Stegostoma tigrinum: one gene and its partner. The main gene of each other region encodes a partner of the protein of the gene in region 2 in a complex. Links are inferred from orthologs where the notes say so. Each region holds a gene or a part of one and is shown on either strand. Other genes may lie near its edges. The genes, in order: lrrtm2 and nrxn1a.

The links.
Region 1: the proteins of nrxn1a (region 2) and lrrtm2 are in contact, whole or in part, in a crystal structure (PDB 5Z8Y), measured with the Homo sapiens proteins. The link is inferred for Stegostoma tigrinum from reciprocal best matches to the Homo sapiens genes NRXN1 and LRRTM2. Residues at the interface, in NP_001317021.1 of Homo sapiens: Leu139, Val158, Thr160, Arg236, Gln237, Leu238, Thr239, Ile240, Asn242; in NP_056379.1 of Homo sapiens: Asp343, His344, Gln346, Gly347, Glu348, Leu351, Asp352, Ala353, Gly356, Phe357.

What each region holds. Positions count from the first base shown.
Region 1 is NC_081366.1:57,558,322-57,571,230, forward strand, and holds lrrtm2 (leucine-rich repeat transmembrane neuronal protein 2), read right to left. Parts: upstream 5,267-12,909; 5' UTR 4,771-5,266; coding exon 4,767-4,770; intron 4,494-4,766; coding exon 2,941-4,493; 3' UTR 2,830-2,940; downstream 1-2,829. UniProt on the Homo sapiens protein: Involved in the development and maintenance of excitatory synapses in the vertebrate nervous system. Regulates surface expression of AMPA receptors and instructs the development of functional glutamate release sites.
Region 2 is NC_081362.1:50,229,867-50,242,517, reverse strand, and holds the start of nrxn1a (neurexin 1a), read right to left. Parts: upstream 5,190-12,651; 5' UTR 4,980-5,189; intron 4,826-4,979; exon of another isoform or gene 4,683-4,825; intron 102-4,682; exon of another isoform or gene 25-101; intron 1-24.

The DNA of each region.
Region 1 (12,909 bases), on a different chromosome or scaffold from region 2:
GCATTGACCAATAAAAGCAAATGTGCCAAACACCTTTTTCAGCACCCTGTACACATGCCATTCCACTTTCAAGGAACTATACATAGCATCACTAGGTCTTTCTGTTCGGCAACACTGCCTAGGCCCTGTGATTAATTGCATAAACCCTGCCCTGTTTTGCCTTACAAAAATACAATACCTCACGTTCATCTAAATTAAACTTGCTCTGCCTCTCCTTGGTCCATTGGCCTACGCATTCGAGGTCCAGTTGTACTCTGAGACGGCCTTTTTTATGATCCACCACCCGAATTTGATGTCATCTGCAAACTTACTAACCTCCTATATTCACATCCAAATCATTTATATAAACAACAAAAAGCTGTAGACCCAGCAGCGATCCTTGTAGTTCAATGATGGTCACAAGGCCTCCAGTCTGAAAAACAGCCCTCTACCATCATCCTCTGTCTCCTAACTTAAAACCAATTCTGTTTCCATTTGGCTAGGTCTCCTGGATTTCACGTGATCTAATCTACTAATCAAAGTCTTATTGAACTCCTTGCTGAAGTCCATGTGGTTAGCATCTCCCACTTTTTCTCTTGAGAATCCAGTATTCTGCTAAATTACAGAGCATCATGTGCAATGTACTTTGATCAATCGGTGCATTTGTTACATTTCTGTTGATTCCAGAATCCTTGCTTCAGGATCTGTAGAAATTCAGTGTTAAGAATTTGGGGTAGGAAAGGAGAATTCTTGGTGAAGTTCCTGGTAATCTTCAATGAAAAGCCGCTTTGGATACTGAGATAACAAGGTGTAGAGCTGGATGAACACAGCAGGCCAAGCAGCATCAGAGGAGCAGGGAGGCGGGGATGAGCTGGACTGGTTTTTGGATATGGTCAGGAGATGAGATTTTGAAGCTTGTGAAGTCCACATTGATACCATTGGGCTGCAGGGTTCCCAAGTGGAATATGAGATGCTGTTCCCGCAACCTTTGGGTGGCATCGCTGTGGCACTGCAGGATGGACATGTCGCGCAAGGAGTGGGAAAGAACATTGAAATGGTTTGCAACTGGGAGGTGCAGTTGTTTGTCGCAAACCAAACGTAGATGTTCCACAAAGTGGTCCCCAAGCCTTTGCTTGGTTTCTCCAATGTGGATACTAATGCTTTGGATATTAAGATCAAATTACACAGAGGAGAGAATGCTGATTTGATTAATCGCACTGATCTAATGGGTTTTTCAGGTTTATGTTTTAAGCTGGGATTTAATTCATACCAAAGGCATAGAAATTAAACATTGGCTAGATTTCAGCATGGTTCTGTGAAATAAAGGACACTGTTTAGATGTGTTTCATGGTGTTGCTGTCTAAGACTATAAGATGTAGCAGAAATTAGACCTGTTTTCACCCATATATAAAAACATATTATAAGTACTAACCCAAAGGAGACAGGTATGCAGTTTATCATTGCCAATTCAGTACTTTGTTTTATATTACTTTATTTTTAAACTGCTTGCATAAAGGGGGCAGCATTGTACTACAAAGATATGGTTACTTTGAGTTTGAACCCTTGATTTAAAAACTAGTGGGCCTGTCTTTCTCATGGTTTTTATTTTCTTCCCTTCCCTATGTTCTTTGACTCTTGCTTGATGATACTTAATTCCTGCCTTTACACTGACGTTTGCTTGCATTGCTTTGATTCTATGCCCACTCTAGCTCATTACACCTTGAAACTGACTGTCACCGCAGTTGAACGCAGCAAGTGTAGCAGCTGATGAGATGGTTGAGCTGGGCTGGTGTTTCATAGAATTTCAAAGTGTCTTCCTCATCACCCCTCCCTTGACAACAGAAATTACATACCTTATAACGTTCTTTCCTGAGTGAGCAGCAGTAAGCGGCATTGATAAAATTGACATTCAATCAAAATTAAGAGGTTTTGATTGCATTATATTTCTGTAATGCATTCAGTTGTCACTCAAGGGCATGAACATATTTTTGTTTTCTTCTGTAATTTGACTGAAGTCCAAGTGGCAGCTCCTTTGTTGAATCAACCAGTTGAACATTGCTTTATGTATTTACTTCATGTAGTGTGCCATCTGGATATGGCAACAAATTGCTAACCTGCAGTTAAATGTCTTGAGTAACAATAGTTCTAACAATGAGAACTTCAAGAGGTTCTTCTAAAAATATGAACTACAGTTTGGATGGTTTTATAATCCCTGGGTCATTGTATTTAGCTTTATAACTTGTCTCATATTCAAGGTTGAGGAGAGCAAAATTATTGTATGACTAAGTTTCATGACTACTTCTATGAAAGCACAGCTAGCTGTTAGCCATGTTAATGTACCTTACTTAATTGTAAAGCTAGTTGATGAACTAAACAAGCAAAAGCTTCACTTACCCTGTCAGTACAGAGCACAAAAAATCTGTTTTACATTTTGACATCTCAAAAACAGTTGACCATTAATTCTTCTTGGTTTCTACCTTATGAAACAGAATGGACACGGTTTCAAACTGAACCTGTTATTTAATAAATTGTAGTAGCTGACTTATCTTTGTGTGGTGTGGATGATGCCAAGGACATTAGAAAGTTTAATCTTTTAGTGACAGACTGTCTGCATCAATTTACATGGCTAAGAAAATTTGATTTTCTTTTAACATGTTTTCAAGTATGTCTTTTAAAAACGCTGTATTGTGAAACAATTACTGAAGTAACTTCTTCCACCAACCAACTAATTATAACAAAAATAAATTTAAGTGTATGACATGAGCAAATTTAGGTTGAAAAATCTAAACTAACCTTCATTAATAGCATCAAGTACAATTTAGAGTAACAGAGCCAGTGCCAGAATTTTGGTAACTTTATTCTGCAAATAAAAAATATTAAAGTTCGATTCTGTAGTTAAAAGATTTTACTCACAGATTTCCCATTTCTTAAACTGAATGATGGTTACATGAGCTCAGAAATTTATACTTCACATTCTTTATAAGGCAGCTGCTGACACTTGCATTGTCCGTAACCATTTATGATCACCAGTGCGCCTTCCTCGTGGGTGGGCTCATATTCATTATAGGGTACTTGTGTGGATAAATCTGCCATGGGTTGCCTGGCTTGGTGGCGAATTTGCCTCCGGTGTTGCATCATGGAGCAATGCCTTATGCGTCTTAGAGTAGGGGGGCAGCATTTCCGTGATATATACACCACTAGGATAATGAGAAAAAAAGAGAACAATAGAGCCATTGTTCCAGTTATTATCCTGTGAGTAAAGAGAGTGTTATCAGGCTCAAGGAAGTCTTCAGTAGTTGTTTCTATAGTGGGATTTTCAGTATCCTCTGTACTGGAGCCAGTCGACATTAATTCTGTTGCATATTCAGTGGATTCTGATAGCTGTGTAGAGTCTGTATAGCCAGTAGTTATTTGTGTGGTGGTTGCTGAAAGATTACTGCAGATTTGAAATCCATGAACAGCATCTAAGATGTCCTCGCCTTGTGTGTGCTGTGGGCTAGCACAAACCATTGAATTCTCCCATCGACCTTGGAAACTGCTTAGCCAGGAGGCCAGGGCACAAATATTTTTGTTACAAACCCACATGTTACCAGAAAGACCAATGTGAGTTAAAGATTTCCATGAATTAACAATCTGGGCACTCAGTGTGGTAAGCTTATTTGAATCCATCAGAAGTATCTTTAGGTTTGGCATTGTTAAGAAAACATTAGGCTCAATTGTTCTAATCTCATTTCCAGTTACATCAAGCTTTTCCAGTGTGTCCCAAGTCCATTCCATTCCACATAGCAGGATGCTAATTTTGTTCCACTGTAAAAATAGTGTTTGGAGACTGATTAGCCGAGGGAAATGAGCAAAATTAATCTTTGTCAGTTGGTTGTGCTCTAGGTGAAGCTCCTTGAGTTTGATTAATCCTGCAAAACCATTACGAGCTAGGCTTCGCAAACGATTGTTGCTTATATCCAAAAACTCTAAGCTTTGGCAGTCCCAGAAAACCCTGACAGGAATGGTCCTTAGTGAATTTGAACGTAGATGCAGTGTTTGAAGTTTACGTAAGCTATGGAATTGCTCTGGTTGCAGAGAAGTAATTTGATTAAATGATAGGTCCAGATTCTGCAAGTTAATCAGTTGGCTGAATGTAGTATTTGCCAGTCGCACAATCCTGTTGTAGCTGAGGATTAATTCTTTGAGTTTATATAGTCCTTGGAAGGCATCCACTTGAATAACAGAAATCTGGTTGTGATCTAAATAGAGCCATGTAAGTTGGCTGAATTTTGTAAACTGATCATTTTGCAGTTCAACGAAAGTATTGTGCCTGAGCGACAAGCCAATAGACCCGTGGGAGACATTATCGGGTACTCCTTGAAAACCTTGGGAATCGCAATAAAAGAACAGCTCCTCGCATCTGCATTTTTGTGGACATGCTGTGCCTGAGGCAGGCAGCATTTTCAACAGCATGCTCATCACACACACTGCCACCGTTGTTGGCCCCCCCAATGGCCACTTCGAATGCAAACCTGTAGGTGGCAATCAAATGAAATTCATTTAGGTTTCCAGCCTGAACAGTACATCGTATATGGTGATTTAGGTGCTTCATACCCCTCCCCCACAAAAGCTCTGTAGCTAATGATCATAGAATTGTCAGATGTGATCTTGTTTTTAAATCTGAGAATCGTTCTGTGCTTTCGACACACAAAGTAATTTGCTGCTCCTTCCCCCTTCATCCCCCCCAAACCCCTGTGTCTCCCTTCCTGTCTTATGAAATGGGATTTTCAAAAACAAACACTTACCCATTCTTTTCTGCACATTGGAGACTGCATTCAACTATCCTTCTGTTCAGACTCCTCGAGCAGTGAGCTGGAAAGAAGTTCCAATGGAAGAGGCAGATTTTGAAAAGATGCGAAACAAAAAGGATTTCTGTTTCCTTTCACACAAGACAATGGCGAGTATTCCAGTTGAAAGCAAAAGGAAAAATGCCGTAACAAATCTTCACCTATCGCAGCTGTAACATTTCCTCCCAACGCTTTGCCCTTGCCCTGCTTTGATTTCCACAGGCGTAGAACTATAGAATTTTTTCTCGAGAATGAATGAAAACACACATTTTCTTTACCTGCCCGTTCAATTGACTAGTTGAAGCCCAAACCTTTGCCTGCACAGCTGGTGGTCCTATCCTTAACTTGTTGATGTTAATGAAGTACTTGTACAGAGACTAGCTAGCAGTGTGAACACGTTGACTGAAAGCTCCTTTGGAAAGGAGAACTGTGCTGGTACTGCAAGAGCGCAGACTTGCAGATTGGTGGCAGGCTGGCGTAAGCTTGTGACGTGCAATGTTTTTGGGCTTTTCAGTGGCATGATGATGAGCTTCATGCTGCATGCAGTCTGCAAATTGGATGAAACAGACATTGAAGCATTGAAAATGACTAATAAATAAAAGGGGAAGTATTGGATATAATATTTGTCTAGAGTTGTCTATCAATACAATAATGTAGCAGATTATTTATTGTTGTGCTAAATTCCTGTCTAGTTTTTAAATAAAATCTATAGTAAGCAAATAGCTTTCAGGTATAAGTCCCCTGACCTGAATATAAAATTGAATAGAAGTTTACTTATACAATTTGCCTCCTTATTTTTTAGGATGCAGAAACACTCCTGAATAAAATTTCTCATTTTGTCTGATTTCATGGAAATAGTAATTTTCTATTATTAGTACATATCAATTTTAAAAATTTGAAAATATTATGGCAAAACGGCTGTGTATGACTTTGACTTTTTAAGCTATAGATTAATTTTGTATATTAATTTGTTTTATAGAAATACTTGTGTTCACCAGCATATTTGTATGCTTTGGCTAGTTTTATATTGGAACTTAACAGTATTTAGATGATTAAATACGCTGGCAAAGAAATGAGATTATGTGCATTTTTTAAATTTTTCACTGCCATCCCGTTTCTAAATCCTTGCAATGGTGTTACTTGCAATGGTATTATACTTAATGATGTATGATCTGTGCATACTGTTTACCAGGGTAAACATAGTCGTGTGCGTAATGGCACTCAAACATAATCTTGCCTTCTCTGATATTTGCAAGTTCACTTTCAGCAAAGGCCGCTGCATAGTTATCAGGAACTCCACGATATTTATCATTTTTCTCTAACGTCCCTAACCCAAGGTATTAAAGTCTTTGGGATGTTGATGCTGCATCCTTGCTGGCCTCAACTGACTTGTAACAAACCAGAGACTGAATTTAATTTTCTATTCTGAGCTACATCATGAATAAACTAGATGAACTAAACAATTAATATTCAAAACCCTGGTTCAGGAGCACTCATTGACCAAACTTGTCAAATGTTTTTGTTGTAGTTTTCTCCTAATTTCTTCCAAATTGATTCAAAATCTATGCATGTTTGATTATTGGCCTTCTCATTTTGCCATAAGAACGTAGAAAGTTTATGTCACACGTGAAGGCCACTAAGCTCATAGTGCAAGAAACAAGTTATAAGACACTGTCAGTCTTAGTTTCAACTTCCAACTTTCCCTAGGAACCTGTGGAGTTTTGCTTTCCCAAGTGGTCTGTCATGTCAAAAGATCCTTGTCAAAAATGTTTTAAAATCCATATAAACTATTTCAAAATGTGCTACAATCAGTTTACTGCACTCAATGCTCACAATATAGTTTCCTCTACATTGGGGGAGACAAAATGCAGACTATTTCCTTTGCAGAACATCTATATTCTGTCTGCCAAAATGATCGCGTTTATTTTCGCCTGTTACTTCAACACACCACTCTGTTCTCTGGCCAGTATCTCTCTCTCTCGAGCTTGATGCAGTGAAGCTCTGCAGAAGCTGGAAGAACAGCATCTCATTTTGGACATCCTGCAACCTTTAGGGCTGTATCAAATTCAATAATTTTAGAGAACTGAGCACCTTCTCCTGTGTCCTTACCCCTCCCTCCACACACCAGGCCTTCTTGTCGTGGAAGCTGCAATCCTTGTGGTCCCCATTGGCAGCTTTGATTCTCCCCGTTGCATATCCTTTGTCTGCCCAACTATTTTTCTACTCTCTCCGATCGCTTCGCGCCCCCCCCCCCCCACCAAAAAGAAATCCATCTTCAGGGTATATACCTATCTTTTCCTAGCTGCAGTTAGTTTTGAAGAAAGGCCACTTGATCCAGAACGCTAACTCTTACTGTCTACAGGTGCTGTCAGACCTACTAAGGTTTCTGTTTTAGTTTTTTTGGTATTGTGAATAACATTTATCTTACAACTAACGCCACAAACAAAATAATCTAGTCATTTGTCTCTATCATTGGTCTATCCTTGCTGTATCCAAATTAGCTACAGTCTTTCCTCACCTAGCAACACTTAATTAGCTAGCTGTTGGGAACATTTGGATGTCTTGAGAATCTGTGAATGGCACCATATAAAAAGAAAGTTCTCCTATTAACTGTAGAAATCACATTTTGAATGCAGGAAACTAAAGATTTCACGACAATGATCTCTAGAAATTTTGCCAACACCTCTGATTTAAAAAGTAACCATACAGTTTTGCTTTGTTTAATTCATGTCTCAATCTGATAAAGGATGTTCTTTAGTGATTAATATTGCTTATTCAGTTTCTTGAGAGTTTCAAAAAGAATTTCATTGGACATAAGAGTTCATGCCTAAGTATTTTACAAAATTTACCATTGGTGATTCATATTATGATCCAGTTTAGGGGCACTGTGGCTACAACTAAGACAAGGATGTGGTTGTTCAGTCAGGTATGAATTAACACAAAAAGAAATTTTAAGTGACTGCACAAGTTGTAGAACTATCACAGCTAAACAGATTATTTGCAATCATATTGGAAAGAAGGATTGGTGCGCATTGTCATCTTGGCTTTACTGCAGAACCTTGGAGAAATTCATGAGAGAATATCAGGCAAAGGTTTATCATACTCCATTGACTCCTGAGAAAATTCTAAGTTCCTCGAGCAAATTGTCACTTGAGAATATTCAGTGAGATTTAGGAATGATGAAGTCTGTCAATGGAAACTGCAAGTTGAGTCTTTAGTTAGCCTTTCTAGTAATCAGAACTGACACACCTTTAAAAGCAGAGATTTACGATGAACGTTCATCAGTTCAAATTCTTCCCACTATTTTTCTGTCTTTGCTACCTAGTTTTTGCATGTTAACAAAATTTTTGGCCTTTATTTCAGAATTCCAGGATTAACAGTGTTTTGCTTTTTATTTTACTGCTAAGTATTGAGTTGATTCCCATGCCAATTCTCAACATTTATCTAATGAATATGATGAAGCAGTTAAGCATGTTCAAGGATTTTAGGTACAGTAAACTCAATTTGCACTCATTTGCGACAGACATTTTGGATACATAATTTTAAAGAAAACTCATCATTGGAGATGCTGCACGAACAGTATGCCTTACTCGAGTTGCGTGTTGAATATTTGAAGTAAACCCAGCACAAAATTGTTTCTAAGATAATAAAGTGTGAAGCTGGATGAACACAGCAAGCCAAGCAGCATCTTAGGAGCACAAAAGCTGATGTTTCGGGCCTAGACCCTTCATCAGAGAGGGGGATGGGGTGAGGGTCCTGAAATAAATAGGGAGGCGGGGGGGGAGGCGGCGGACCAAAGATGAATAGAGGAGAAGACAGGTGGAGAGGACAGCATAGGTGGGGAGATAGGGGATAGGTCAGTCCGGGGAGGACGGACAGGTTAAGGAAGTTGGATGAGGTTAGTAGGTAGGAAATGGAGGTGCGGCTTGAGGAGGGGATAAGTGAGAGGAAGAACAGGTTAGGGAGGTGGGGTCAAGCAGGGCTGGTTTTGGGATGCAGTGGGGGGAGGGGATGAGCAGGGCTGGTTTTGGGATGCAGTGGGCAAGGGGAGATTTTGAAGCTTGTGAAGTCCACATTGATACCATTGGACTGCAGGGTTCCCAAGCCGAATATGAGTTGCTGTTCCTGCAACCTTCGGGTGGCATCATTATGGCACTGCAGGAGGCCCAGGATGGACATGTCGTCTAAGGAATGGGAGGGGGTGTTAAAGTGGTTCGCGACTGGGAGGTGCAATTGTTTGTTGCGAACCGAGCGGTTCCATCCTGGGCCTCCTGCAGTGCCATAATGATGCCACCCGAAGGTTGCAGGAATGCAACTCATAGTCTGCTTGGGAACCCTGCAGCCCAATGGCATCAATGTGGATTTCACAAGCTTCAAAACCTCCCCTCCCCCCACTGCATCCCAAAACCAGCCCAGCTTGCCCCCACCTCCCTCACCTGTTCTTCCTCTTACCTATCCCCTCCTCCCACCTCAAGCCGCACCTCCATTTCCTACCTACTAACCTCATCCCGCCTCCTTGACCTGTCCGTCCTCCCCAGACTGATCTATCCCCTCCCCACCTATACTGCCCTCTCCACCTATCTTCTCCTCTACCCATCTTCGGTCCGCCTCCCCCTCTCTCCCTATTTATTTCAGAACCCTGTCCCCATCCCTGTCTGTGAAGGGTCTAGGCCCAAAATGTCAGCTTTTGTGCTCCTAAGAAGCTGCTTGGCCTGCTGTGTTCATCCAGTTTCACACTTTTGTTATCTTGGATTCTCCAGCATCTGCAGTTCCCATTATCTCTGATCACAAAATTGTTTCTATACTGCGCAGTACTTTTGGATGCAAAAGGCCAAATACTAGACTTGCATTAAGTAGCCCTGGTAAAATTTGGTAGTATTGCTAACAGTGCAAGTAATATCAGTGTTAAAATAGTAGCACTGTAACACTAATGAAATGTTGCTGAGGATAGCACGCACAACCCAGATACTAAAATGAAATGTGAGAAGGTATTTGCAGCATTACTGGTAACTACACTGACAAATGATAGTATGGGCACTTAATTTTATAAACTTATTTTACGTTGAAATTGTAACTAGATCTTGGAGATCCAGTTAAAAATACTAATTGGCTATTGAATAATTTTACTTACACTTTTAAGCCATGGAATATTTTGTAATTTTCCATCTGCACATATGTTGGTGGTTTTTCAATTTCTTGAATATGCATATACTGTCGCAAACCAGGTGTCTCAGCATTTGCCATCTTTTGGCATCAACACATATTTGTGCCTGGATGCAATTTCTTAAATTATCAGATCTAAAATGCAAGCTCAGTGAAGGGACACATGGACAATTTACACTGGTTGCTGTCATTGACTGGTTGTACAAGTCTCTTTGCAAGTTGCACTCCTATGTCATCTTCATATCAAAAGGTCATATTCAAATACTGCGAAATCTCAGAGGCTAAATCTTTCCTTTTGACCCAGATTCCCAATCCATTTGATGGCCCTAATTTGCAGTTTCCCTGAATGGTTTCCCTTTGTAATCCAATTTTGAAGTTCGAAAGTTACAACCATTTTGCGAAAATAGTGAGTGTTTGTATTTATTCATTTTTTGGGGTGTGTGTGTTGCTGGCTGGCAAGCCTTTATTGCCTGTCCCTAGTTGCCCTTGCAAAGGTGGTGGTGAGCTGTCTTCTTGAATTGCTGCAGTCCACCTGCTGTGAGTGGACTCGGTGCCATTGTGCAGGAAATCCCAGGTTTTTGACCCAGCAATGGTGAAGGAATGGTGAATATATTTGAGTCAGTATGGTGAGTGGCTTGGAGGGCAAATTGTAGGTGCTGGTGTTCCCTTTTGGCTGCTGCCTTTGTTCTTCTGGATGGAAGTTGTTGTGGATTTGGAATGTGCTGTCTGAGGATCCTTGCATTTCTGCAGCGCATCTTTATGTAGCCGTATGTACTATGAGTTTGGTGATGGAGAGAGTAGATGCTTGTGGATGCAGTGCCAATCAAGTGAACTGTTTTGTCCAGAATCGTGTCAATCATCTTGTGTTGAGCTGCAGCCTTCCTGGCAAATGGGGAGTGTTTCATCATACTCCTGACATATACTTTGTAGATGGTAGACAGGCTTTGGCAAGTCAGTTGCCACACTATTTCAAGTCTCTGACCTGCCATTGCTGCCACTGCATTTTATGGGTGTACTGCCGTTATAACTTGGTCAGAGCTCTACAGCAGGCTCATGCTTTCAAAATATCAGCACATGACCGCACTTGGGAACCTCTGCTCTCATTCTTTCTTCTAAGCAAACTTTATACGTGCAAGTTTCTTAAGTTTTTTTTTATTTTATCGAAAGATAAATGTTGACCCTGTTCTCTGTTGTTATATTTTGAAGGCTTTTTTTTAATGGGGTTGTTTTGATAACTAATGTATGATTAGAGGAGGCAATAATTGTCTGTGACAAATTCCCTGCGCATCTAATTTTTGTTCTGCCAACAATGAATGTAAATTATGTCTGAATATGATGCATCTAATTTGCATGTGTGGTTGCTGTAAAGTTGCAGGGCCTTTTCAGTTCTTCGTGGCTTTACAAATCTCTCATATCCGCAGTAATAGTAGTCAAATCTGAGTCGTCCTAATCTAAGGTTTCAGTTCATCCTAGCTATAACTTTTGAAACATTTGCTGATCCTCAAATTATTTACAAAATCTTCACATGAAATAATTCAATATTTTTGTAGAATCAATATTGTCTGTTTTTATTTGTAAAATTCACAAAGCCTCCGGTTTAATCATTAAGGTGGAATCCATGAGCTCATTTGCTTGCTGTTTCTCTCTTCCTCTTTGCAATCTCATTAACTGGCTTTAATCCTTCCTTTTCTCTCACCTACCCATTCTATCCTGTCCTTTCTCATGCCTGCCCTCGCTCACCGTCCTTGTTGGTTCGTTCGCTCACTCACCCGACCTCCTCATTCTCTCTGCGACTTAAGAAATAAAACTAAACTAATCAAAAATATGGTATGACACTTAAGCTGGTTTTAATATTGTGTATTCTCATAGTAAAGACCATTTCAGCTTAATTTTTCAAACCTGTTACTTTGCAAGTTTAGGTTGTGGAACTATATCATTTAACACAACTTAAGCTGGAAAATGAGGTTTGGAGGCAGAAAGATCAGAGACGCAATCCTCAGTCCCCTTCTCAATCTTTTTTTTCCATTTTGGAGGCTTTTTTTGCGCTTGGTTCCTCAAGCACAGTCAAAGCCAATTTTATGGCAGTACAAACAGCTTGGTTGTTCAGGATGTGAGAAAGATAAGAGAAGGAATAGTGACAGGAGAATCATTAGTTAGGTGAATAGACATGCACTTTTGTGGCAGTAAATGTGGCTCCTGGATTGTATGTTGCTTTCTTGTGCCAAAATTGAAGATGTTAGAGCGGTCGCGGGGAGTGGTGAACTGCCAGAGGTTCTGTCCACATTCTTACCAATGACTCGGGTAAGAAGAGGGGTAAGGTTCCACCATCAGGATTGGGAGAAATAAGAAGAAAATTATTAAGCAAGACCTCAAGGGTATTCCAGTGCCACATGCAAGTGAGCACAGCAATGAAATGATAAATGTATGGCTGGAAAAAATAGTTGCAAGAGTATGGGTTTTCGATTCCCGGCATTGGTTTTTAGATTAAGGAAAGCTGGGCTTTTACAAACCAGACAGGTTGCACTTGAATAGAGTTGGGATTGAGTTTCCTGTTGGGTGATTTTGCTAGTGCTGTTGGTGGGGATGGGTTAAATTAACTCCACAGCTGCGTGGGAATTAGAAGGAATATTAGAAAGGCATAGCAGGAAACAGATTTACTTAGGGACAGAGAGGATAAGTATATAGAGTAGTCAGTGAGTGAAGTTGGTGAGGGAATAAATAAAGCCTAAATTAGGATTATGCTGCATATGTTTGAATGGAGTATTTTAAATAAAGTTTGTTAATAGATAAGAACAAAAGGTAATCTAGAGCAAGGACAGTTAACTGCAGAAGCGTTGACTTCAATGAGCAAGGAAACAGTTGGGCCAGACAGGCTGGAACAAGTGTTGTTGGGAACAGCTCTCAACAAACGTGGGTTACTTTCAAAGAGGAAATGATT
Region 2 (12,651 bases):
AATATAGTAGCATATCATAAATACCTTGGCAAAGACAAAGTCAGTAAAGGCGATTATCTCACATGCAATTCCAGCAGCAGGAACAGAACCCCAGTTTTTAGCTGTAACAGAGAGAGGGAAAATAGCTTTCACATCCAACTTCAAGACTCCAGCAACTAGTGAAAGTTAAAACTAAAAATCCTGTTTTTGTGGGAACTTGGCCCCACTCATTCAGGCTCCTTTTATTTTTCCAGCTTCAAACAAAAAGACCAAGGCCTCACAAGCTATTTTGTTTATTGGTTTGAAGCAGATTGCTCCCACCTATGTCTTCATAGGAAAAAAAGGACAAAATACTCCTCTTAAAGCCAAGTATCATCACATCTATGACTAAGCCAATCATGTACCCAACTTACCAACTCGCCATGAATCCCATACAACCTAATGTTGTGGACTAGCCTACCATTATGGACCTTATCAAATGTGTTTGTAAAGTCCATATAGACAGCATCCACTGCCCTATCCTCAATCATCTTCATCATTTCCTCAGTCACCATCAGTTCTGAAGAAGGGTCACTGGGCCCGAAACGTTAACTCTGTTTTCTCCTCCACAGATGCTGCCAGGCCTGCTGAAGGGTCTGGGCCTGAAATGCCAGCTTTTGTGCTCCTAAGATGCTGCTTGGCCTGCTGTGTTCATCTAACTCCACACTTTGTTATCTCAGATTCTCCAGTATCTGCAGTTCCCATTATCTTTGAGCTTTTCCAGCAACTTTGCTTTTGTTCCTGATTTACAGCATCTGCAGTTCTTTTGGTTTTTATTTAAGATATTTTGAGATTCTCCTTAATCCAACTTGCCAAGACTATTTCATGACACCTTTTAACCCTCCCCGATCCTGTTTCTTTTTTTAATTTCTACTCCTTTTATATTCCTCAAGGGCCTTGTCTACTTTCAGTTTACTAATCTTATGCATGCTTGCTTTGTCTTTCTGACTAAATTTTCAACACCTCTTATCATTCAGGGTTCTCAACTCTTACCAATGCCCATCTTTCATCTTCACAGGAACATGCTGATCTTGAGCTCAGGTCAACGGGCCTTTAAATTATTCCCCAATAACAAATGTGGATCTACCCTCAAACAGCTAATCCCAATCTAATTGCTCCTGTTCCTACCTAATACTGTTGCGTTTAGCCTTCCACCAACTTAGCAGTTTCACTCAAGGATCAGTCTCATCCTTGTCTAAGCTGTTGTAAAATGTATGGCATTATGGTCACTGTTCCTAAAATGCTCCATCATTGAAACTTTGATGACCTGACCAGGCTCATTCCCTTGTGCAAGCCCTATTATGGTCCCTTCCCTTGTTGGGCTACCTACATACCGTTTCAAGAAATGGAAGCATCTCTCAAATTTGTCATCATCCAAGCTTCGAGCTCCAAGGGAATCCCAGTCAATATTGGGAAAGCTGATATCACACTTTTAAAAACCCTGTGACTCTTACACATTTCTATGATCTGCTTGCACATCTGTTCCTCTATCTCTCACTGGCTATTGGGAGGCTTATAGAATAAAGCCATCATGGTATCTTTCCCCATTGTGTCCTCATAGTTTGTCTGCAGGATTTGCTGGCAAGGAGACAGCTTTTCTTAACCAAAAAGGTCAGTACACCATTGGAACACCTTTTAGTCCTTGCCCTGCCATACTGCGTGATCATCATAATGTATTTTCATTCAGACATTTCCTAAAACTCTTCAGTCAATTTTCACATCCTCTTAAAGTATTTCAGGATTCTGAAAGCTATTTTTGAGTCCCCCTGCTCAGCCAGGCAGCCACTTAGTACTGTGCTCTGCACTGTTCACTTTCTGAAATCACTTAAATGATCAGATGGCATGATGGTTCCATTTTACTTGTACTGAAGGCAACAGGCATGAGTTAATCACACAAAAAGATCATCATGCCAATTTTCATACCTTGGCAAATTTTGGAACTAGTATATTTCACTGTATGAGACAAGAGACGTGGATATTTAAACATGCCCTGATGGCCTGACAGAAATGTTTGAAATAATACTGGTTGATAAGCCACAATGTTGTTTGCAAATAAAAATAAAGGTAGCACAGTAAAACAAGTAATGATGCAACAAGCTATGCCCTGCAATAATGAACATATTAATAATGAAGATGTCTCAAAGCAGTTACTGGAGGCCAACTACAACATCTGAGCTTGTAGATGATGATCATGATCTGCTGGGGAGAAGATCTCGTTAGTTAGATGTGGGAGCAAAAGATCTTTCAAAATGCCTAGAAAAGGACAACAGACCAATTGAGGCCATAGAGGGTGACTGCTGAGACCATGTGGAGGCAGAGAAGAGGAAAAGTGTGCAGCTGTGATGAAGAAAGGTGGGAATGAATTTGTAACCTGTTAAAGGAAAGGGAAAAGCAATAACAGTTTGGATCAGACGTATATGACAGGAAGGGTAAAGAACCCAATTTGGCTAAGATAGAGAAAGAAAGAAGGCGAGTGCTTGCCTGAACACTGGTTGGGGGGTGAGAGGTGCGATGTGTGCCTCAGGTTGAAGAAGAAATAGGGCAGAAGCCAAGAATGGGGGAGAAGACTCAAGGTAGATGTGGGAAACGGCCAAAATAGAGGAGTATGTGGGAGGGAAAACAGAAATTGGGACTGCAAATTACTGGAATCTGAACTGAAAACAAAAAATAATGCTGGAAATCACAACGGATCAGGTAGCATCCATGGAGAGAAATCAAGCTAACATTTCGAGTCTAGACAGCACTTCATCAGAAGTAAAGCAGGGGCATGGGTACCAGAGAGAAGAGAAGATGATGGACAGAGCAAAAAATGGAGAGGGGGAGAAAAGAGAGAAGTTACTTGGTGACTGAAGCGGTCATGTTGAAAGAACAGTTTGAAAGCAATGGGAAAATAGTGGGAAAAAAAACGAATGAAGGGGAGCGTGACTGTCAGCAATAGGGAGGTGCAAAAAGGCAGGTGAAAAATCTATGAAGGGCAATTACAACATAATCCCTACTGTTTCCTAGTTCTCTCTCATTCAATGTTCATATTTTAAGCTTGGCTTCTTTCTGACAATTTCGCAGGGTCACTGTGTTTACATTCCATTTTCCAGTCTGAATCAAAATACTTTATAATATTCTTCAAAAGAAGCAATTAATGCAGCAACATGAATCAATATATGACCATGACTGCACTTGTATCCGCTTTTGGACAATATTTTGTATTGTGTTTAGTGCAAAATGGCTGAACCTGCCAAAACAACAACATTTCAGCATGTGCATTTTAATTCTTTCTGTTTGAGCTCCCTCACACCAGATACTCAATTGTTTAAAAAAATGCTTAGCTCTCCAGAACAGTTTAAAAGGAAGCAAAGTTCCTTTTTAGCCAAATTACTCAGTGGATTTTAATATCTAATTTGGTCATTTTAACCAATTTACTCAATAGATTTTAATAAATAAGTTGTTGGAAGATTGACAGACAAGTTGCTGTAATGTAAACTAATTATTATTAGTTGTATTTTGTTGCTAAACACTTTTGGATTCCAAAGATGATAATTACAACTCCCAACAAAAAAGCATAAAAATGCCAAAGTGAAAATATATATGTCCTGTCTTTGGATTAATATTAAGACTTCTGTCCTACAATGATCTTGAAAAATGTATTTTAAAACTTTGAGATTGATGGTTACATGGTCCATTTGGTTCAGTAGACTCCCATTGCTTCATTTGTAGAGAATACAATATCCTGACATATCTGACGTCCAAAACTACCCCGGGCGCTGAAAAACAATAATTCTTTTATTGACTGGCACATCACTTGTTGCAGCGTCCTAAGAAATAGACCAGCACTTTATAGTTAACATTTCTTTTCTCTCCCTCTGCCTTTTGATTTCGATTGTCTTATTAGCTTTCTCACACTACACCTAATGAGCCATCACACCTTTCTTGGATTGTAAAAATGCCTGAAGTGAAATCATGACAGGAAATCTAATTACCAATGTACCACAGCAAAACGCAGCATGGAAATTATGAGACAAAAGAACGCTCCAATTTGATACATGTTTTTTTAAAAGAAAACGCTACCGATATGCGCCTAACATGTCAATTTCTCTTTTCTGCTTCCTGTCTTAGGAAGCTGCGGTCCGTTCTCACCTCATGACACTTCGTATTGTTTCCCATGTATCATAACAAAATGATTAACGCAATCTGTAAAATTAAGCAGTTTTTTTTGTACTCCGAGATGTAATTTGGATATGCTGTGTCAGATGGAGGTAGCCCAAATAATATAACTAAATCCAACAATTACATCCAATTCTGGCGGGGAGTGAGAAAGGACAAAAATCCATTCTATTCCGTCTACAATATAACAGGTCCTTAAATTTAAACATGCTATCAGTATAGAAATACGATTCAACAAAGACAAGCAATCCTATTCAGTAATCAACTACTTTTATTTTGCAACCAAAGTATCAACTCAGTAAGGTATGAGGGAAAGGGAGTTCAATCACAGAGCGGTGAGTCGCCTTGCATTCATTATTGGAAAGGAGCTGCGGAGAACGGGAACTCTCGGTTTTATTTTAATTGATATGTTGGTGCCTATGGAGTCTGCAAAATGCAAAACCCTCAGACTCTCCTCCTAAATCTGCAACCTCCGATACAGTGATGGCTGCTTTTAAACCACTCACCTGGTTCCTGCACTCTTCCCTCTACCGTGTGTTGCAGATGCGCAAGGATTTTACTCACTGATGAAGACCAAGGACACAAAAGAGGGGGATAAGATCAGACATGGGCTGGGGGAATGGGTGGGCTTTAAATCTCTCCACGCGGTAAAGCAATGATGTAAGACCTTTCAGGATTGGGTTTTTTTTTGTCTTCACGCCAGCCTCTTAAAGACTGGGCTTCCCCGCTCCGATACATGACGAAGAAAATTCCATTAGTGCTCGGCAGCACAACGAGAGACAGACAGACAGAGCCCCACGTACCTGAAAGAACCCGCTGGGGCCTGAACCAGGCTGTGAAAGAACGCTGATCTTTCAGACGAATTCCCGTTTTAAAATTTAAAATACACGCGCGCCCAGGCGAGGAATAGCTGCCTTCTCTATGTCAGGATCTTTCTGTGTCAAGAGAAAGCCATCTCTATTGCCTCCCGTTAAAACAGCGCTGCCAGCGAAACCCTTGCCTTCTGGTACCCAGACCCTGCTGAAAGATGACGCATATTCTCTCTGCAAACTAAAGGAAATCAAGGGAAAAAAATGCATTTAAAAAAGGAGGTGTCGCAGCCCTTTTTCTCCTTACAGCGGAAGCAATGAAAAGCTCCCATATTTATCTTTCCAACCGCCAAAGCACGGCCCCTCACCTCAAAACACACCACCCAACCCCAAACAGCAGCCTGCCCCAAAATGACTGGTTTAATCTGGGAAGAGTGGCTGACGCTGTATTGGCCGTGCCCTGGACGCCTAGCGGCTCCCCTGAGTGCCCAGCCATGCTCTGACCGTAGGTATCTGGGGGCTTCCAAAGTGCCTGGCCATGTCCTGGGTGTCTGGCCAAGGCCAGGGTGTCTGGTCATGACCGGGATGTATGGCCATGCCCGGGGTGTATGGCCATGCCCTGCGTGTCTGACCGTGTCCGGGGTGTCTGGTCATGCCCGGGGTATCTGGTCATGTCTGGGATGTCTGGCGAAGCCCAGGGTGTCTGGTCATGCCCGGGGTGTCTGGCCAAGCCCGGGGTGTCTGACCATGCCCGGGGTGTCTGGCCACGCCTGGGGTGTCAGGCCAAGCCCGGGGTGTCTGGTCATGCCCGGGGTGTCTGGCCAAGACCAGGGTGTCTGGTCATGTCCGGGATGTATGGCCGTGCCCGGGTTGTATGGCCATGCCCTGGGTGTCTGGCCATGCCCAGGGTGTCTGGTCATGCCCGGGGTGTCTGGTCATGTCAGGGTGTCTGGCCAAGCCTGGGGTGTCTGGCCGTGCCGGGGGTGTATGGCCATGCCCTGTGTGAATGGCCATGCCCCGGGGGTCTGGTCATGCCCTGGGTGTCTGGACATGCTCGGGGTGTCTGGCCAAGCCTGGGGTGTCTGGCCATGTCCTGTGTGTCTGGCCAGGCCCTGTGTGTATGGCCATGCCCCGGGGGGTCTGGCCATGCCCTGAGTGTCTGGCCATGCTCGGGGTGTCTGGTTGTGCCCCGGGTGTCTGGCCAAACTTGGGGTGTCTGGCCATGCCCAGTGTGTCTGACCATGCCCTGTGTGTATGGCCGTGCCCTGGGTATATGGCCATGCCCCGGGTGTCTGGTCATGCCCTGGGTGTCTGGACATGCTCGGGGTGTCTGGCCAAGCCTGGGGTGTCTGGCCATGTCCTGTGTGTCTGGCCAGGCCCTGTGTGTATGGCCATGCCCCGGGGGGTCTGGCCATGCCCTGAGTGTCTGGCCATGCTCGGGGTGTCTGGTTGAGCCCGGGGTGTCTGGCCAAACTTGGGGTGTCTGGCTATGCCCAGTGTGTCTGACCATGCCCTGTGTGTATGGCCGTGCCCTGGGTATATGGCCATGCCCCGGGTGTCTGGCCATGCCCTGGGTGTCTGGCCATGTCCAGAATGTCTGGCCATGCCCTGGGTGTCTGGCCGTGCCCTGGCTGTCTGGCCATGCCCGGGGTGTCTGGCCAAGCCTGGGGTGCCTGGCCATGCCCTGTGTGTCTGGCCAGGCCCTGTGTGTATGGCCATGCCCCGGGGGTCTGGCCATGCCCTGAGTGTCTGGCCATGCTCGGGGTGTCTGGCCAAGCTTGGGGTGTCTGGCCGTGCCCGGGGTGTCTGGCCGTGCCCGGGGTGTATGGCCATGCTCTGGGGTGTCTGGCCATGCCCTGGGTGTCTGGCCGTGCCCTGGGTGTCTGGCCAAGCCCGGGGTGTCTGGTCATGCCCGGGGTGTCTGGCCAAGGCTGCGGTGTCTGGTCATGTCCGGAATGTATGGCTGTGCCCGGGTTGTATGGCCATGCCCTGGGTGTATGGCCGTGCCCGGGGTGTATGGCCATGCCGAGGTGCCTCGCTTCGAGCTGCTCCAGCGCCCACGTACTCAGCCGCACAATACCAGCCGGAGACGAGCCTATGCGGAGGATTTGTGTCAAAAGCAGGCTCTCGGCTACTATCTGTTGTATTTTCCTTCTCTCCCTGCAAAAGTATTGTCGCCGCTGAAGTGCCAATTCCCGGGAGGTAGGTAGGTGTGCATCGCTGTCATGTTATTTCCCCGTGCTCTCCCGGGGAGACAGCTCTAGTAAGTCTGACACACAAGGCTTTGCTCTTCTCGCCTTTTTAGGAGTGTGAACGCTGCCGTGTGTGGGCAGCTTGAAATACTTACAGCAGAATAATAACGTCTTTAATTCCGTGTTAGAAAGCAGCACCTCGTGAAGCGTTCCCAATTCGAGCACCCAAATTTCAAAATGTTTCCAGCTAAAACGAGTACTTATAAATAAATGTTGACGTGTACGATAATTTGCCTGATTTGACACAAAACTGTTGAAGCGACACGACATTTTCATTTGTTTAATGCCAGCACGTATGTATTTACTTGCTTACAACACGAGCTTTCAAAGCGTCGCAATCCTTTGCTGAAACATTTCTGGTAGGTATCCAGTCATGATTTTAGTGTATTGTAGTGAACTCTTAAGCACGTGTGCGCGGAAAGTGCTTCCGAAGACAATATGTTTTTTTTTAAACAAGCATTTACATTATTGTGACACATACATAGACAGATGGAAGTGTACTGGAGCTTGGGAATTCAATAAAACAAAACCTCGGGTAACGATGATAAATGAATGCTCGAGATTTCTGGATTGTACTCGGGTGTCTGCAGGGTGTACGCAATGTAAATGCGTTCCTGAAATTCCAACAGGTTCAACTTGAAATGGTTAGAGCAAGCTGTCACAGGTCATTTTCTTATCTTTGGCCATATAAGATATGCCAGAGGTGAGACTACATCTGTACATTTTCATACCTTGTTTCACTTTGTACTGTTTTCACATGCAAAGAGGAACCATCAAAACATGAAACTGGGAAGTGGTTAATTTCAAGGATGGGGTGGGGGTGGGAAGGTTTTGGAGGTACATGGTATGAATGAGTTAGGGACACCCCTTTAACTGTCTGTCCTGACGGAGAGTTATATTTAAATCAAAACATTAATTCTGTTTTTTCTCCACAGATATATGTTCAGCACCTACTATTTTTATTTCTGATTTCCAGCATGTGCAGCATTTTGCCTTTATTCACTTAGCTTGGCTCAAGAGCAAGAATGCCGACATTTTTGATATTAAAGTTGTAAGTTCAAGCCTTGCAGGTTCATTAGAACAAAGCAATATGTTAGACTAACATTCAGTGCCAGTGCTGACCCATCTGTGGCATTGTTAGAAAGAAGTTTCCTTTTGACTGTAATGCTAAACAGAAATGCTGTGTGCCGACTCATGTGGATAAAAAAGGTCAAGGCATTGTAAAGCAAAAAAGATGGGGAAATGTAAATTAATATTGACCAGATTGCAGTAACCTTTTTTCACTCCAGCACATTACACATCGAGATAGACAAAAGAGGGCATGAGTTGGGGAGACTTTATAGAACACTATCAAGGAAAAACAACTGATGAAGGGTCTAGGCCCGAAACGTCAGCTTTTGTGCTCCTGAGATGCTGCTTGGCCTGCTGTGTTCATCCAGCCTCACATTTTATTATTTAGACTCTACTGTTGTATTTTAACTCAACACTTTACTGAAGCAACTTGTGAAGAGATTGACAAACAAAACCTTAAATCTACACTAGCTATCTACTTCTGACCTGTGCTTCCAAGGATTCATTGTACCCTATCCACAGGTCCTGACCACTGTATTTGACCTAGATAACAAAGTGTGAAACTGGATGAACACAGCAGGCCAAGCAGCATCTCAGGAGCACAAATGCTGATGTTTTGGGCCTAGACCCTTCCTCAGAGAGGGGGATGGGGAGACGGTTCTGAAATAAATAGGGAGAGAGGGGGAGGCAGACCGAAGATGGATAGAGGAGAAGATAGGAAGAGAGGAGAGTATAGGTGGGGAGGTGGGGAGTGGATAGGTCAGTCAGGCGAGGACGGACAGGTCAAGGAGGTGGGATGAGGTCGGTAGGTGGGAAATGGAGGTGCAGCTTGAGGTGGGAGGAGGGGAAAGGTGAGGGGAGGAACAGGTTAGGGAGGCAGCGACGAGCTGGGCTGGTTTTGTGATGCAGTGGGGGAGGGGGAGATTTTGAACTGTATTTGACCTGTTGTGGATCAGATCAAACCCTGTCAAAACATATCAAGGAGATAATAGCCTAAATCCTAACTTTAAACTTATTTAAAAGGCAAGTGTAAGGTCCAGCATTCCAAATGTGATTTGATTGGTCACACTACTATGCTTTAAGCAAAGCACACTTTCTTCTTCCTCCACAATTAAAATAGAAACAAAGTAAAGAAGAATTTTCTTAAATAAGTATTAAAAAAACTTAAAATATATTATTTCACTCCTACTGAACTGTTCTAAGATAGTGGGATCTGATAAACACACCTTTGGCAAAGGCACATTCAGCAAAACAGTGTTATTCTCACATGTAATCCTCTCACTCTAATCGAGCAGAACGAAATACTGAAAAAAAAACAAATTAGTCAAGTAAGTGAGAAAGAACTCTTTGCAGCAGCAGCAGAGAGCTGCAGCTAGCAGTTCACCTCCAAAACCCCAACTTCAACAACTGAAAGCAAAAACTAACACTCTGGATCTGCGTGAGACTGACTCCACCCAACCAGAGAATCATTGAATCCATACAAAGTGGAAACATTTGGCCTAACCAGCCCACACAGACTCACCGCACCAACCCCCCATCCCTGTAACCCTACATTTCCCTTGGCTAAACCACCCAATCCACACAGCCCTGCACACTATGGGCAATTTAGCATGGCCAAACCACCTAGCCTGCACATCAGCGAACTTTGGGAGAAAATTACAGCAGCCAGCAGAAACACACACAGACACGAGGAGAATGTGCAAACTCCACACAGACAGTTGCCCGAACCTACAATTGAACCCAAGTCCCTGGCACTGTGAGGCAGCAGTGTATTAACCACTGAGCCACTGTGCCGTCCAATGTTTCTTTTTCTCTATTTTTTGCTCTGCCTTCCCAGAGCAGGCACCTCATCACCAGGCTTGTAACATGCCCCTTGAAGAGCAACAGGACAAAACAATTCCCTTTTAAAGACACACATCAACAGTTCCTCTGAAAGGACCGATAGCACACATGCAGTAAGGCTGGGACAAGCTGTTTCTTGATCTTTGAGAGATGATGTTTCACAATCTGTTCTTGTCAGTTTGGACACTACCTCTCATTCAGGGCTGTATCTGGTCTTTGGGTCATCCCACCAAGGTATATTGTCTGGGAATGCCATTGAAGAAGATGCAAAAATCAGAGAGACAGCTGGAGTCCCTTCTACTCGCTGCCTCGCACCCATCAAAGATTCTGTTGCTTGTATCTAGTACTAGCATTGGGTGGGGGCAGGATGATCTAATAAGGTGGCACTTTCTATATCTGGAGGTTGTAAAACATGATAGTGGAAGTGTTCAGTGCCATCCTTGTCACCATGCCTCTGGATTCCTACTGAGCTGGGTGCTATAAAATCTGTATAGCGTTCTTACCAAGCAGGTTCACTGGAGGTGTAAACAATGTTTCAGAATGAACTGATGTGACCATTTATAGCTGGCCTGACTTATTTTGATGTAAAATTGCCTTTCCAAGGCCTGGCTGCATGAATACTGTCTGTTCCAGCTCTGGAGTTTGCAAATCCCAAAGTTCAGATCAGTTTAAACTTGGCTTCCACTTTGAGTTTTAAGGCCATGATCATGGGAAAATGTCAATATTTCTGTAACAATCCTGGAGGTCACAGGTCACTTGACCACAATGAGTATTTTTAAGTAACGGCAAAATGCTCTTATGGCTTCAACCAATATCACCAGAACAAAGTCCTCTGGCCTTTTACCTCATTACTAGTTGCAGTGGTTATCATTTGGCATATTGACCTTCATAATACCATTGATTACACTTTTCTGTGAAGTATGTTTTGATGTCCAGAGATTGTCAAAGGCATGATATAGATGCAGATTTTCTCCCGTTATTGATTTAATACGCAGTACTTGATTAGTGTGGAAGTAGGGCAGTTGAAAGGCCCATTTCAGTTTTCTTTCCTTGCAGCTCAGTTTCATTTAAAGGCCCTCTGAAATTCACACCTCACATAAAGGATCCCATCCTTTCAGATTACTCACGCCACTCAATGTCCTTCGACTAGCTCATGGCAACTTCAAGCCACTTCCATGTCTACTCATTTATTGTCCAATGCCACCATTCCAGTATCTATGATGAAGAGTCTATTGAGTCTTTGCTACAGCAACAGGGATTGGCTAAGCTCAATCCAAGAAAAAATCAGTCTGATTCTAAAAATCCTGACTTCTAATATAATGAATATTGAAGAAAAGAGATTCCAGTGTAAAAGAATATTAACCTTTAACAACCTATTAGGTATGTAAGTAAATAAGAAATTATACCAAGCATATTTCATCATTACAGTCTCAAAAAATATCTATGATTCTTAGATCAGTAGACTACCTAAAGGCTGAAGGCATAAGAGTTTGAAACTAATCCACAGCAAAACCTTTTAGCTCCAGAAATTGTCAGAACAGGATGGTGTTGCACCTCCTGTTGAGTTGAGAATGCCTGTTGATCAAAAAAAAACAGAAGAGGAGACTTTGTTTTCAACTTTCTGAACACGCTTTTTGTATAACACAGCACAATAAATGACAGCAATGACTATTTCTTCTGAATACAATATTGATATATTAATTGTCCCATCTCAGCTCCACTCACCAGAATGAAGATTCTCCGATTTATTTTAATCAATTTCATACTCCAAGGGGAAAATCCCAGTGGATGCATCATTTCCAGAGATTAAGTCAATTTCACAACTTGCCTGAGTGGAAAAAATGTAAAGAGTACAATGAAATATAAGACAAATAGGTTTTCATATAAATGTACTCTAAGGTGTGGATCTTGAGGCAGGAGCTGGAAGAGAACACGCAAGGGATCAGTTCTAGTAGATAGAAGTTAGAAAGAAAGTGATTAAAAAAAAGACAGACTGTGAAATGGAAAGAATGCAATGATTTAATTTTTCCAAGATTGGAATGAGATTGAATGATGTTAGTCTTAGTTTAGTCATTCCTTTGTATATTTATTGTTGTATGTGAAATATGCAGCCGATAATTCATTCCTGATTGAAGAACAGTTAGAAACACATTTTAAAATGTTGGCTTTCAAACTATTTGGATAAAAAAAACATGCAAGGGTATTGGATAAAGAAGAGAATGGAACTAGAAAATGATGTTTATTTGAAGTGTTGGTACAGGATCAACAGACTGAATGGTCTCCTTCTGCACCATAAGACCTCTGTGATTTTGATCCTGTTTGTCAGTACATCTTTTAAGAATTTGGTAACTTGTGACCAACAGCCCATTAAAACACACATGCAGAGCTCTCTCAAGGTGCCATTTGTAATTCTGACCAATTATCAGAAATCCTATCTGCATCCCAGCGTGACTTTTGCCAATCTCCCACAGATGTATATCAACTACTCCTGCAGAAAAAAA